2 linked regions of the Caenorhabditis elegans genome follow. The protein of the gene in region 1 interacts with the protein of each later gene in a pairwise test. Each region holds a gene or a part of one and is shown in the gene's direction. Other genes may lie near its edges.

Evidence for each region. The genes of interacting proteins can lie anywhere in the genome.
Region 2: the proteins of mxt-1 (region 1) and F44A2.5 interact in a two-hybrid assay, tested with the Caenorhabditis elegans proteins (2 studies listed by BioGRID).

What each region holds. Positions count from the first base shown.
Region 1 is NC_003279.8:12,841,363-12,848,378, forward strand, and holds the start of mxt-1 (Eukaryotic translation initiation factor 4E-binding protein Mextli homolog), read left to right. Parts: upstream 1-2,906; 5' UTR 2,907-3,265; coding exon 3,266-3,347; intron 3,348-6,455; coding exon 6,456-6,593; intron 6,594-6,761; coding exon 6,762-6,929; intron 6,930-7,005; coding exon 7,006-7,016. Other genes in the region: ptr-17 (SSD domain-containing protein), read left to right, coding at 420-538, 652-711, 774-887, 1,116-1,337, 1,771-1,871. UniProt on the Caenorhabditis elegans protein: Plays a role in promoting translation.
Region 2 is NC_003283.11:9,294,857-9,303,727, forward strand, and holds F44A2.5 (MIF4G domain-containing protein), read left to right. Parts: upstream 1-2,775; 5' UTR 2,776-3,016; coding exon 3,017-3,031; intron 3,032-4,708; coding exon 4,709-4,799; intron 4,800-5,032; coding exon 5,033-5,167; intron 5,168-5,318; coding exon of another isoform or gene 5,319-5,329; coding exon 5,330-5,481; intron 5,482-5,551; coding exon 5,552-5,659; intron 5,660-5,707; coding exon 5,708-5,947; intron 5,948-5,992; coding exon 5,993-6,294; intron 6,295-6,820; coding exon 6,821-6,950; 3' UTR 6,951-7,341; intron 7,342-7,390; 3' UTR 7,391-7,438; intron 7,439-7,477; 3' UTR 7,478-7,640; downstream 7,641-8,871. Other genes in the region: nhr-39 (Nuclear Hormone Receptor family), read left to right, coding at 8,470-8,550, 8,596-8,871.

The sequences.
Region 1 (7,016 bases):
TTTCCCGTGCTAGAACCTGAAATTTTCAAAAACAAAAATTTGGTGCCCGGGACGGTTCATTTACGGTCCGTCTACGGGCCGGCGACGGACCGTCTACGGACCGGAAACGGCCCAACTACGGCTCAAGAGCCATCTCGGTCGGTAAATGTGGTTTTTGCTCTAAATAATGCATTTAACGACGTAAAAATTCTTGAATTAGCCAACTGGTATCATAGGTATTTAAAAAAAAATTGTTTTCTTAAAATCCATTTTTTCCTCTTAATGGCCATTTTTTACATTCCCCGTAGTTTGCCCGTAATTGGTCCGTCCCGCTTTTCATATCCGTAGTTCGCCCGTTAATGGTCCGTTCCCGGTCCAAGATCCGTAAACGGACCGTACCCGCTTTGCCTGTGTGAGCCTCAACCAAAATATTTTTGCAGAAAACTGTCCCAAAAACATGCAAACTACAGTATTATTACATATTCTCCGTTGTGGAATATTGCAGACGAGTATGATATTATGTGGCCACAAACTATGCAGGATATCTATATTTCTATTGGTAAGGCATAAACTGTAAACTACAAACTACAAACTACAATTTTTTTATCACTATAGTTTGTAGTTTGTAGTATGATTCTTGAATACTAAAAACTACAAAAATACTAATTTCAGCTGTCATGGTTCCGGTCGCACTGCTCTTCATTCCACAACCACTCTGCTCAGTTATTATTGGTGAGTTTTGTAGAATTCGTAGTATTTGTAGTCTTCGTTGTCTATGTAGTCAAACATCGCAGGCTTAAATATCGCCTCCATCGCATTCGGAGTCATCGGAACCATGTCCTTCCTTGGTGTCAGCCTGGATGCCACGTCAATGATTACTGTAGCAATGAGTGTCGGATTTTCAGTTGGTAAGACTTGGCTACAAGCTACAAACTACAAACTTTAAACTACTAACTACAAACAATAAACTACAAACTACAAACAATAAACTACAAACTACAAACAATAAACTACCCAATTTTTGTAGCCTTCTCCAATTATATCGTCGAAAATCTGCACCCTTCACTACTGTTTTGAAAGCTCTTGGGGAGCAAAAGTCTAAAAATTTTACAAAAAAAAATTAAAAAAATTTCCAGATTTCGCCGCCCACGTCTCTTACGCGTACATGACAGAATCTGGAGCCCAAATTCCGGGAAAAAGTGCAATTTATTCACGATTTTGTCACACTTTGGGTACAATCGGCTGGCCAGTCACACAGGCTTCAGTTTCCGTACTTTTGGGTGTTTCTTCGCTGTATTTGGTGGATAGTTATGTGGTTCAAACGTGTTTTAGGACTGTTGTATTGGTTATTTTATTTGGTAAGTGTTGTGTAAATTCGCTCTAGTGAACTTAGAAAGTTTGGAGGTCTTAGGGGGCCTGGGAACTGACATGCGGGGTGATGGCCTAGAAAATCCTAAATGTGATTTTCTAGGCCACCTAATTTGGAATTAAAAAAAATTTTGGTAATGAAAATGAGCTCTACCAAACTACTTTACTCATACATCTCCATAACATCTGGGAGTTCACATATAGTTTGGTGGCCTAGAAATTTATAAAATTTTTGGTTTCTAGTCCAGCAACTTCAAAAATTTCAAAATTTGTGATGATCTGCTTTACTGAAAATTTGAATCACAGCTGAAGCTAGTACTACCGTACCCCAAATTTAGAACCCTAAGAACTAACATACATACTGGTGGCCTAGAAAACACAAAATCTGAATTTCTAGGCCAGCAACCTTTAAATTCATTCCAGGTACCACCCACGCATTGGTCTTCCTTCCACTTCTTCTAATGAACTGTCACAGGGTATTTGACTACTTTAAGACAACTTCCACGACTAGTACGGAGCCGTGAAATTGATAAAATATCAATTTTTGTGCAATTTGTAACTTATTTATTTATTTCGTTTGTACATACATGTTTTATTTTGGTTTGAAATAATTTTTTATTCACAAAAACTTGAAAGCAATTCGATATCCAAATTTCAGGTTCCAAATTTCAATCTCGTTATCTGTGTCTCTCTAGGAATTCGTTCTTTTCCGATATGTTTTAGAAAAAGAGACAAAGAGAAAAATAACAATGTGTTGATTATATGTAAATGATTATGTAAATTTGTGCCACCCGAAACTCCCTGACCGTTTTGAATGATGTCTGAAATGATTTTCCGAAATGGAAAATTGAGGTGCAAGATGAGAGATGCTTAGACTACAAACTACAAAACTATCTTAGCCTGAACCAAAAAATACACAGTATCTCAGCAACTGATTTCCAGCAAGAGTTACTGTGTTGTAAAGTACGTAAAAATAAAAACAAAATTTTAAAAAACCAGGTAACTTTGCAGGTGAAAAGAAAAAAAACCAATTTTTGGGATTTTTCGATTTTCAAAATCTCATAACTTTTACTAAACTTATCAGATTTTTCCAATTTTAATTTATTTTGAAGCTGAATATGTTTTCTTATAATAAATCAAAATTATTATCTGATTAACAAAATTTTTTTAAAAAAAACCTAATCCCAAAAGCTCCAAAAAAAATTTTTTTCGAGTTTTGGAAATTTTCAAAATAGCATAACTCCTTTCAAAATTGTCCAAAATTTAAATTTTTTAACTTTTTTTGAAGCTCAATTTTTTAAAACTTTTTTTTCAGTACCACAAAACATTCCAACCAGTGTTTCTAATTTTCCCCGCCGATAAAGTCTTTTGGAACTCAAAATCAACGAATTTTGATAATTAATTTCAGATAAAATGACAGTCTTTTGTGCCAAAAAATGATTCAAAAATACCCCTAATATTCAATTTCCCTTTCCCTCATTGCAAATTTTGTTGTAAAGAAAAACGGAAAACAAAAAGAGACAGAGATGATAGGAACAGAACAAAAAATGGGCGGAGCCAAACTGAGTGGCTCATCTCCGAGAGAATGTGTAAAATCAGGAGAACACAAAGATATTAACACACGGGCGGTGCTGTTCAGTTACACGACGTTTTCATCCCCAAAAACGTTACCCCTAACGTCCCGCCGATATTTCGAATTTATTTTAAAAATTACGAACGATTTTTGGATTTCTGAAAAAAGTTTTTAAAAAACTTTTTTTCGGATTTCCTAAAAAATTTCTTCTACTTTTTCACTGTCCACCAACATCTCCTGCCACCAGCCAACACATTCTTTCTTGCACACGAAACTGTCATTTTAATCTGAAAAAATAATTAAAATCAAAATCAATTGATTTTGATTCCCAAAATCTGAAAAACCATGCTTCATAACTACGACGACTTTGGCGGCGGGAAAATGCAGGGCGCGCCTCAGGTGCCCCGAAACACCTTGTTGAGTGTTGGTGAGTTATTTTTGTAATAATAAAAAAGATAATTGTTTGAGCTTCAGAGTAACTTAAAATTTGGAAAATTTAAGCAAGTTTGAAGAGACTTAAGTTTGGAAAAAATTCGAAAAAAAATGTTTTTTTTTGATACTTTTGAAACTGAAACTTTTTTTGACTTATTGTCATATATTAGTCTAAATATAATTTAAAGTTAAAAGAATATATATTAAACTTCAAAATAAAGTAAAAATTAGAAAAATCTATTGGTTTTGAAAGGAGTTATGATATTTTGAAATTTGGAAAACTTTCGAAAAAAAATAATTGTTTTCGAAAATTTTGAAACATGTGTTTTTTGTAAATTTTTTGTGCAAGTATAGCTTTCTGTAAGAATTAATTGTTTTCCATAAAAAAATTTGAATTTAAAAAAATCTGATAATTTTGAAAATTTAAGAAATCTCGAAAAAAATGTTTTTTTTTTAATTGTGAATCTGGTTTTTTTTTTGGTTTTTGTATTTTTCCTATAAAATTAAAATGTTTTTATAAAAAACAAATATTTTGCTTCAAAATAACATAGTAATTGTACAAATTGGGTAATTTTGGAAGAAGTTATGAGATTTTGAAATTTTTTAATTTTTTAAAAATAATTTTTTGGAAGTTTTGAATTGAATTTTTTTTCAACTGATAGTGAAACTAGAAAAAATAATTTTAATTTTTCGATAACAATAAAAATTTTAGCTTCAAAATAAATGTACAATTTGTTAAGCCCGATTTTTTTTGAAAAAAATTACGGCATTATATAATATAATAATAATAATATAAATATATAATATTCTGATAATATTCTGATCTGATTTTTTGTGAAATGTTTGCAATAAAAAATTGCGAAACCTGAATTTTTGTGCAACTTATTTTAAAAAAACTGTTTATTATTTAAAAATTTTAAAAGCTAAATATTCAGCTCCAAATTGTATGACCAGTTTGCATACAGTTAATATTTTTCAAAGAATTTTCTAGAGGTAAATCAAGGGATTTTGGAAACCCTTTTGTAGTTTGTAGTCCCTCAGTTTGTTCCCAATTTTATAGATTATTTCTGATTTCATAAGCGTTTTTGCAGTTCGTAAACTCAGATTTCTCTCACAGCTGCACTCGATTTTTACACACTTTTTCTTTTCTCCCGGGTGCTCTTCTCTTTCTCTGCGTTTATTCATCCCACATACTCTCTCACATATTCACCCGTTCAGCTCATATATCATCTTAGCTCGTCAAAACGACAAGTTTCTGGTAAAATACTGATTGTGAAAGTAGAGGAAGGGAATTCTACAAGAGTTTATAACTACAAAAAATGACCTCAACCGAAAATATGTTGGGTGAGGCTATGAAGCTTTGTAGTTTGTAGTTTGATAGACTGAACCAAAAACTATAGAGTTGAAGCCATGGGTGCGGGTTTTTCAATGTTTTCAGAATTCTCATGAATCCAAAAATTCCGTTTTTTGATTTATCCATTTTTAGAAGAAAAGTTTTTTTGTTTTATCAGCTGGAATAGCCATCCCGCAGCCCAGCATAAGGCTTAAGCCTAAGACTAGGCCTAAGCCTAAGACTAAGCCTAAGCCTGAGCCCAAGCTTCAGCTTAAGCCAAAGCCTAAACCTGAGCCTAGGTCTAAGCTTAAGCCTATGCCTAAGCTTAAGCTTAAGCCTAAGCCTGAACCTAAGCCTGAGGCTAAGCCTAAGCCTAAGCCCTCGTGCTAGGTAACTTTGTAGTTTATAGCCAAAAACTCAACTAATCAAAAAATAATATTAGTTCATTTATTTCCATCTAAATCAACCCATGTTTAACCCAATTTTCCTCCCCCTCCATCGTTACAAAGTCGATCAGCAAATACCTGAAAAGCGGCTCGCCGAGCCGCCACTTAACATTGTACAGAAGCCGACAAAGGAGAAATTGTTAGAAATGAAAAGACGCAGACAATGTTAAAGAGTTCATTCGTGTATTTTTGATATAAAATTGATAAGGATTAAGTGGGGGGAGAAGACATTTATTTGTTTTTGGAGAAATGAGAGATTTTTGAGACTTTTCGTGAACTTTTAGAGGTAAAAAGGTAAGGGGTTTGGAGTTGGGAATTTGAAAATATTTAATTTGAAAAAAAATATTATTCAGAAAAATTTCAGTATTTTGTTCAGTTTTCAGTAATGATTTCAATTTTCAAGTTAAAAAAAATTGTTTTAAGTAAAATACAGTTCAGAATCCACAAAAATTGATTAAAAATTAAAAATCGACATTTTTTGGTTTTTTTAAATTTTTTTTTCAACAGAAAAAATCTATCAATCATTTCAGCGTTAAAAAAATCTTCAAAAATTTTTGTGCCGAATTTTTTAAAATCAAAATAAAATACCAAAATTGATATTGCTATTTGAAAATTAAATAATATACTTTTTAAATTATTTATTTGATTTATTTTCAAATCTATGCGAACAAAAAACACACCACATACTACATACTTTAAATATTTGTTTAATTTTCAAAAGTAAATTTTATTTTAAAAATCCAGTATTTATTCAAATTAGCTAGAAATGTCAAATTAATTCAGCTTAAATACTGAAATTTTAAAAACTTTATAGTTAAAAAATTTGCACAATCAATTTATTTTAAAATATGATTAAAAGTAAAGAAAAACTTTTCAAACTAAAAGTGAATATTGAAAAGTTCTGAAATGTTTTTAAATTTTTGGTACTTGTGTATTATTTCCCCTCGTTTTATTATTATCCATTTTAATATAGCGTGATGTCCAGTTTCCCTTCTTAGGCTTAGAAATGGTTATTTGCTAAGACTAAAAATACAAAAACTCCACACGTTTTTATTTAAAAAATTATATTTAAAAATGAGGGGAAATAATACACAAGTACCAAATTGTTTTAAAATCAATTATTAAATCTGAATTGTTAACGTTTATTTGAAAATAGTAATATAAAAACGGAAAATTAAATGTAATTTTTTTTAGAAAAATACAATGTTTTTTTTAACTATCCAAGTTTAAAAAAAAATTACTTTCCAAAAAAAAATTCCAAAAAAACATTTTTTTTTCAGAAATTTTTTTTCCAAAAATCCAAAACTCTCCAAACTTTTTCCAGACCAACAACTACAGCTAATGAACACAATCAACAATATGGTACGTGCGAGCCAATTCACTTCACAACTCGCAAACACGATCTTCACACTTTGTGCTCAACTCAAAACTTCGGGTTCGATGCTGGAACAATCACATAAAAGTGAGTGGCCTAATTTTTTTTTTCGGAAAGTCAGGCCATCAAAGCTCTATAAGTGAATAAGTGAAAATTGCAGAAAAAATTCAAAAAAAAAATTTTTTTTGATCATTTTTGAACATTTTTTCCAAAGTTTTAAAACTATAATAATTTCAATTTAAAAAATTTTTGCAGATGAATTAAATAAAGTTTTCACATCATTACGTCAAGCATGCTGTCGAGATAATGGACAACTTGGGACACCGTGTCGATTGAAAATTATGGAACTTGTCGAATTACGGGCAATGAATTGGAGAACAAACTTGGCACACAGCCAATATTATGTCAACAGGCCGGAAGGACGTAAGACTACAAACTACAAACTAGAAAACTACACGCCACAAACTACAAACTATTAAAAAACCTTCGTGTGTTCCAGAACATGATCCA
Region 2 (8,871 bases), on another chromosome or scaffold:
ACGTTTTCAGTCACGAAAAATTTGTGAAACCAGAGAAAGGATTTTTCATATTATTTTAAAATTTTACCTTTCTAGATCCTTCCTTCAAATTCACTTTCTGTTAGCTTCTCCAAAACGAATCTTTACACCTTGAGCTTTGGAGAAACCGAACGTATGTAGACATCAAATATCAAGTAACTATCATAGGAAAAAGAGAATTTCGACGATTCGGCGACAAATATATTTTCGGATTCAGATTTGATATCACTTCCAACATATGCAAACCCAACTGAAAAATAAAGTAAAAAAGTTGGATGATTAGAATTTTAAATTTAAACTTTAGATTGATCATCCAGGTTAACTCTCTGAATTCATGTATACATAAATGTCTATTTCCAACGGGACGATCATTGAGACTCCATGCATAAATATTCTAAAAAAGTAATTTGATACAGATAGGTTCAGAGAAAAGTTTTCTTTGAATACAATTTCAGAATGGTGTCTCGGTCCCTAATGTTTTTTTGCGTGGCGAGATCTGGATTAATGTTTGTATGAACTCTAATTAAAGACTAAACATAAAACTTTGGTAATTTTCGAACTATGTTCTAAAAAATTAAATTAACAATATAATTTCCAAAAAAAACTTCAAAATTGCGAAAAAATTTTTTCAGCTGAGCTTTTGGTCATTGGTACACAATGTATGTACTACACATTAAGAAAACAATCAAGCTCGCATGAACAGAAAATCACTTCTCCCTAAAAACAAACAAGGAAAAGTTAACAAAAAGAGTTGAGAACGAGGATCTCATAATCTTTTTCTCAAACTAGGCGAACTGTGTGTAATCCTCTGAAATGTGTGTGTAATTCTACCTCCGCTCTCTTCTCGAAAACCACAATCATAAATTGTTGACCATCGAACTTTTAGAGAGTATGTTGAAGTGATAGAGACACAGAAATAGCTCCGATGGTGTTCCGCTGAGAATTTTCTAATTTCTATCATCAAATCATCATCATCTTTGCCACACACACACACACAAACACAGCTAAGAGCACATATTTCAACGTGTTTTACACCGAGAATGTATGTCTGCGTATCTTAAGAATCGTCCTTCTCTTAATAATTGGAAACGAGCTTCACATCACATTCAAAGACCAGCCGGGACCCTTCAAAATATAGTTTTCATGTTCCTGCTTTTTCAAACTTTTCAATTTTTTAAATTTTCAAGGTCCTCCATGTTTCATCCTGAACCTTCTTATGACACTTCTGTTGTATCTGATGGATGGTGCTACCCTGCTCACACACCTGGCAGTATTCCAGAGATAAATAGAAATATAGAAGAGAATCAGAAGAGAGAAACACAGACAAAAATCATGTGTGTTAAAAATATATATTATCATGTTCTGTTCCATCTTTATTTTCTCTTTTCCAATTCACCGCCCCCCTGCTCTTATCCGTTCGTTCGCAAACAATGATGATGTTTTGCTGTGCTTTTCTGAGCAGTTTTGCTCCCACGCTGTATTGGTCTACTAATTATAATAGGGTTTCTTAACAGATAACTGTTATTTTTATCGTTTGGGGCATTATTTCTATAATTTACTCCAAGCCTTTGTTACACACAGTAGACCTTTTTAACACTAACACTTTAAAAAATTTGAAAAAATCGGCCTTCGTAGAAAATCGTAAATACTTATCATTGGCGAAAAAATAAAGAGAAAGCTATAGCAATTTGTTTGTTTTCAGACTCTTTATACAAAAATTAGAGTAAGAATACTACTTTTTCAATTTTGCCCTTTTTTTTAATTATTCCAAAATCATCATTAACAAATATAACATGACAAATATAACATTGCTTGTTAGATGTTTTCGTTTTAAAGACTAAATAGTTTTTTTTTTCAATTTTAATCTCCATATTATAATCTAAAATCCATTTAGATATTATACTAATTTTTGGGCAATTATTTCCGTTCTACCTTTATTTGTCTTGAAATCAATACATGATTGATAGCATGATAACAATATGTGATAATCTCATCCTTCCAATTTTGCATAGACTCAGAAATTCAGTTTCACAATTTACTGCATATTGATCTTCCATTCCCATCACACATGCCTTCAACGTGATTCATTCAACAGAAAACTGTCCGATCGTCGAACATTAACCATCATCACTACTGTTCATTCCTTGTCCCCGTTTCAAAATTGCTCATTCCTTCCCACCCGTGCTTTTCCTTCCCTATTCCATCATCTGAATCTCTATACTTCGAGTGCTCTCTAGTATTTCTTTTGCTCTCGCGCGCGCGCTCGTCGCCACCATCACACTGACAACGACTTAACATTGTTTTGTACACGGATTATCAAGTGGTTTCCGAGAGAGATAGTGACTACGACCACAGACGATTCGAGACGGTATGACGGAATTGCCTGCTTGTCCTGATCGCCCTCTTGCACTTTTCGAACCATTTTGGTCTAGAAATTTGAACGAATAAACATTCAATGGAAGGAAAAGTGTGATAAGAACAATCCACTTGACTGTGAACAAGTGAAAAAAAAAGGATTCCGTATGACCAAAAGCCAACTGACTAAACTCATGAAACAACTACAGTGCATCTTTTTTCTATTTTCTTATCATGTTTTAATCGTTGCTCTTTCTCGTTTTCTCTTTCTATCTATAAATCTATTTATCTACAATATCTTTTCATTTTTCCCATCTCAAAATATTTATTTATTCTGTTCGTTCGTTTATATCAGTTGCAAATAATCAATCAATAATATTAATATATTTCCGTTTTTTGCAGGCGAGGCGACTTTTTTGTGTTTTCCCAATAGTGTGACGAACAGTGCACACGATTCAACGTCAGTTCTTGATCGAGGCTTTCAATCGATTACTCCCCAAAATTCAACGACCAAATTCTTTCTTTATTTTTTTTAAATATTCATTTCCCCAATTTCATTCTGCCGCATCAAGTGCAGAAGAAAATAATCATCGATCAGTGGAACTCTGAACAAGAACTCTGACGACAAAAAGAAGTAAAAGATATGGAAACTCTTCAGGTTCGTTTTTTTCTTTCTTTTCTTCTAACACCTGTCTGTTTTCCGTCTTTTAGAAATAAGAAAACTAGTCAATAAAAGTATCAGGTAAAAATGATTGGGATCAGGCTTGTGCGGCTAATTTGCCGAATTTGCCGTTTGCCAAGCTCGTCAAGTTTGGGATCTTGAAACGTAAATCTAGTGCTAGGACCTTTGTGTTTTTATAGACTATAATTTAACTAGAAAAATATGGAACAAAAACGAAAAAATTCAACTTGTTTAATTCATTTAATTAGTATCAAAAATAGTATACCTTCGAAAGTTTAATATAATTTTTCATTAAACGGCATTTGTTCAATCATTAAAAATATATTATCCTCGCAGTTCTTTTTGTCAGTGTTAGTTTATCTAATAGGAGAATTCAATATTTCGGAAAATCTCGAATCTACATACAATTCATTTTTGGAAATCACCATTAGGGGGAAATTGTGGAAACATGATTTTAAGTTTTAGACCCGCGTTATTTTTTAAATAAACATTATTGAAAGTTCTGAAAAACTTCATGATCAAAATTAAACATTTATGAGTCAAATTAATATTATTTTTTAAAGCCTCTGATTGTGAATCTTGTACCACATGTCGTTTCTGAAGTTCACTAATAGTAAGAGTTGCTCATTCCTTGTACTTTCATATAAAAAATAACAAAACATTAGTAAAAGATAAAACTAATTATCTTAACCTTCAGTTTTTAAAATTCTAAAATTTCAAATTGGCGTGTAACGGGGGAAAAGACATTCTCGATATTATGTTCTGATAGACGCAAAGGCCACAGATGGCCGCATTTTACAAAATTATTACGAAATTCGGTTTTTTGGCTACTCGAAATAATTTAAGTAAAAGAACCAGAAACGATGCCCCTTAATGTTTCTATTTAGCTAAATAAGTCTGTCGAATCTAGCTTTGTCTTGAAAAATATTTTATTGCAATTTGCAATCTTGTAAATTTTAAAAACAAACGCGCAGTGATCTTTTGAGCAGCAAACTTTACAATGAAACGTGCAAATGATTAATTAGATACATGAAGTTTGTGTGTAACATCAAAAGAATGCGAAACAAGACAGAGAGCACAATTTTCATTCTTTAGAGCTGCGGTGGTGGCTCTTACCTTTACTCTCACCTTACGAGCCCTTAGAAGTGCTAATTCTGGCATCCCAAACAAACCAAACACCGATGTTTCGGCACTTAATCAACTACAAAACTCTTACTTCATTGTGTGCCACTCCCAATCACACAATCACTCAAATCCTCACTTTTTCTTCATTCTTTTCACAAGTTGTCGTCTCTTAATCCATATTATCGATCATTGTTTCTTTTCTCCGCTCGAGACCGCGTATCTGATAACCGCATCCCTGTTCATAGTGTGCTGTCTGAATAGAGGATTGAGAGAAATGAGATGAGTGTGGTGCCAGAGCGGTTAACTGCAAAGTGTCCCATCATCACTTTTTCTTTCCGTTGATTCGTATTCTGTTATTCAAAAGTTCAGAATCATTGTCTCCTTTCTAGCCCTCTCTCATTCTCTTCCTCTCAAAATCAAAATCATTTGTGGAAAAGTGAATTAGCATAAACCATTGCCACTAGTCGCATTCCCCTGGACGCTACTATCAATTTTCGTGATTTCCTATAACTTTTCTACACGTTTCAGACTGAGAATCAGCTCATTGGAGAGCTGAAAGCACCAGCTACCACAAAAAAGCCCACCAACAGACCCGCCATGCAAATTTACCGTCCACCTGGTAAGTGACTTTACATTACTATTTGAACTGAATCTGTAAAGAGTTTGTAGAGTTTTTTAATTTTGGAAAAGTATAACTAGGTATCCCTAAATGTAAAATAAAATACATACGCTTATAAGACAGGATAGACGAGTAGGAATTTTAGATAGGCGAGTAGGAATTTTCGTGTCAGCATGGACTTGTTAATAAAAATTTTAACATCATCAATATAATTTTTAACGATATTCCCTTAGGACTTCGATCCGACGGTTCGTCCTCAACAACGGCCGTCACGACAACATCGTCAACGAAACCGAAGCCGGCAGCCGGTCAAAAGCTGTCCTCCAGCGAATGTGACACAAATGTCAATTCACAGATTTTGAAAGAAGGTGAGGAAATAATAATTTTAGTGTCGGCTATCGGTTAAGTGTTTCCAGATGTTAAACTTTTACAAGGGAAAATTTTTTGTCCCTTCTAATTTTAACTTCTTAATTTAAAACTTGAACAGATTGAATCGTTATTCCCAAATTAAACTCACAGACAATTTTCAGAAAATAATAATAAGAAAGATTGCGGCGAGTCGACGAGTTCACGTGCCAGCTCGCGCGCTTCCAACCATGTCTCGTCTGATGATCGGCACTCGAACGGAAGTTTGAAACGAACTGAAAGTTCATTAAGTTCCGAATCGACCCCCTCGTCACAGGTGAGTCTTGCAAACAACACAAAAAGCCTTGTTGGCACCTATATGACAAATAAAACGAACAAAAGTTTAGAAATCATACGGCTCTAACTCGAATAAGCTGAATGGCCAACACGTTAGCGGAGGCGCCCATCAGCAGTACAACAAGAGGATCAACAGCTCGAAGAAGGAAAATCAGAAGGTTTGTGTCTTCTTCACTCATTCAAACATAATTATTCCCGTGTTCTAGAAGAAAGTGATGAGCGAACATGAAATTGAAAAGGCTATCACTGAGTTGAGAGCCCTTCAACTACATTCGCATTCAATTCAAATTGAGCAATGGATCGGTGGAGCATTTTGTGATGAAGAACTTGCCGAATGTATTGGATCCGCTTTATGCCGTCATGCAATTGAAGGAGGTGGAGGTAGTGGAGTCGGAAAATTGTGTGCTAACTTTAAGTATGCACCATCCATTGGTTCCTTTGTCAAGGTGAGGATTTTTCTATCTCAAAAAAACATTATTTTATTAATTAAGGGACTAATCATCGCCCTCTCCCAATACTTGGAATGCAGGCATAAGATTCGCGAAGATCATTTCCGAATGTGGATTTCATTTATTCAATTCCTCACGGAACTCTATTCAAATTTGGGTTCTGATTCAAAAGGAGAACTTGCCACAATTGTGTTTGATGTCTTCAATTATCTTCTCCGTCCACCAATTCTAGAACATGTCAAGATTCAAGAATTGGAATGTCTCATTTCTATTCTTATTAAGGGTGGATACGATTTGGAGAGAGAATGTCCCGATCGGTTGGCACTGCTAAAAGATCTGATCAGGTACTGTAAAAACAATTGTTGGTCCCTTGGAATCGTTAAAGTAGTGACGTCATCATATGCAGAAGTTTGATGGCAAGAACACACTTTGTCAAAGAACCTGATATATAATAACTGAATATGCAAAGCAAAGTTTTCATGGCTATTTGTCTTTGTTTTCGAAACCAATGGTAAAACACGATGTTTTTAAAAGCATTAAATTTCTGATTTGTTTAGTATGTAGATGACAGATTTTTAATAACTAAATTTTTAATACGGTATGAAATGTTATCAACCCTCGGAATTTGAGGGAAACTTTCTGCCAAACTTTGTTTGTCTATATCTGCCTGTAAACGTTGTGGCTTTTTTGCCAGAATCTTGCCGACTGATTTGAGGACATTTTACTAAGTTACCGTGTTGTTGGCAGAAAGTTGTCCCACATACAAGAATCGAAATTTGTATCGTTTGCCTTTTAAGACTTTCGAAGTAAGCGTTATTTTTGAAATTTTCCTTTTTTCAATTTTACTTTTAACTTTATCATTTTTTACAGGGATGCATTCATTGACGTCTCCGAACCATGGGCCCGTAAAATGATTCTCCTTCTCTTGGAACTCGGTGCATCTGGATGGAAACTTCCTACAGATGCCAATGAATATTATTTCAATGAAACTTCAAATTAAGCTCTCTCTTTCATTTTTTTTTCTCTTTCTTTTGTATTTGTATATATTTATTCTCTAGTTGAACCTAGTAATTTCAAAAATTAACAAAACACCTCTAAAACATATTTCTGTCTAACCTTTTGTTCTCTACCGGTTCTCATCATTTTTTGTTACCTTCTTTCTGTTTTAAAGCATAGTTAGCGTTATTTTTTCAAAATGCTCTTCTCTTCTACATCTTTCCTACGTTCAATTCACTTTTTGGGCTTTTTATTCTCCTTTTTAAACCTCACGTGACATTATTTTGCTCTTTTTTTAATTTTAATTATTTTCATTTATACTTTATCATGTGCAACTAAATAAGAAATTTATCAAAATGTGTATCGTGAGAAGACAAATGTTGAAAACTAAGCACGTAAGAGTTTATAGTAATTTGAACTTCCCTTATTCAATCCCTTATTCAGAATCGTAGAGAAAGACCGCTCCCAGTTCAAAACGACACTGAAAAGAAGGTGAGATCACCCAGTTTCTCCCAGTATTGATACTTTCAGATATGTTTATCACCTCCCGGCCAATCACTAATGGATGAAGATGATACAATCAGAAAGCCTAGTGATAAGTCTGAAATAACAACAAAATGAACTGAGTATCTCAATGATCAAAATAAATACATTTAAATAAGAATTTTGACGAAAATAAAAGTGACGATTCCTTTCTGTAGTGTTTGTAGTTTTCTCGAAAAATATCATTTTCAATGTTCAAAGACCGAGAGTTGAATGAAATGAAGGTTTTGGAAAAAGGTAATCCAATTAAAATCTACAAAATTTATTCAATGTCACCGTTTGATTTCTAAGATTTTTGAACAGAGGAACATGTTTCGAAATTTCAACAGAAAAAATTATAAAATTCAGTATTGTAAATAATTCAGAAATTATTGGAATGCATTATAGCGATCTTCTGAGTTTCAATAAATTGGGATATTTGAACCAAATTGAATGAAAGATCCAATTCAGAGTCATTGGCCATTTGCAAATCATCTGGAACAATTTCAACTTGACTAACCAATTTCAGTTGTCATCTGGTTTTTTTTTTCAATATCATATGATGATGTTGCACATTTATCACGCTTGTATTTTCTACTCACGGTGGCGTGAGAAAATCTAGGTTCTACAGCTGGTTTTTGCAATTGTAGAATTTTTGTTTAATGTCATGTTTTTGAAGAGCTTTTTCAAATTGTCTTAGATTCGGTAACTGTTTCAGGTATTAGAGATGCATTAAAATAAGCTTATTATCTTATAAACTCACATCTCGCCATTTTGTTTTAGCAATAAATTCAAAATCAAACATTCGAAAATCAAAGTAGAAATTCCTTCACCACTTTTTTGGTCGTTTGAATTCTCTTGAAACTTTATTACTCATTCGCCTGACAGCTCAAAGCTTAAAGTAGCATGTCTAGAAAATAATTAGCTGTTATATCAATGTTGAGAGTCTTTGCTGTTAATGTTGTTTTCAAGTCATTTTTATCATTTCAGAAGTTTTTGATATGTATTTTCTAGAAGGCCTAGTGGCTCAAGATAAGAAGTGTACAATATGTTCCCGACCAGCATCCACTCGTAATCATGGTGTGAGTTTTCTCACTAATAAAATATTTTGCAATGGGGTTTTATAGGTTCTATCGTGCAGTGCATGTAAAATGTTTTTCGCCAGAACTGTTCAGAATAAACTAAAATACGAGTGCAAAAAAGAAAATCAATGTTTGGGAAACTTTTCTCATCGAATCTGTCAGTCATGTCGCTTTGAAAAATGTTTGAAATTAGGAATGCGATGTTCTACTACGAATGATTTTATTATCAATATAGAGCATTCGTCGGATAAAAAATTTAGTCGATTGCTTCAAGATTTAGTATCCAGGGATAGTCGAACGTACTCAAAGGCTATCAATTTT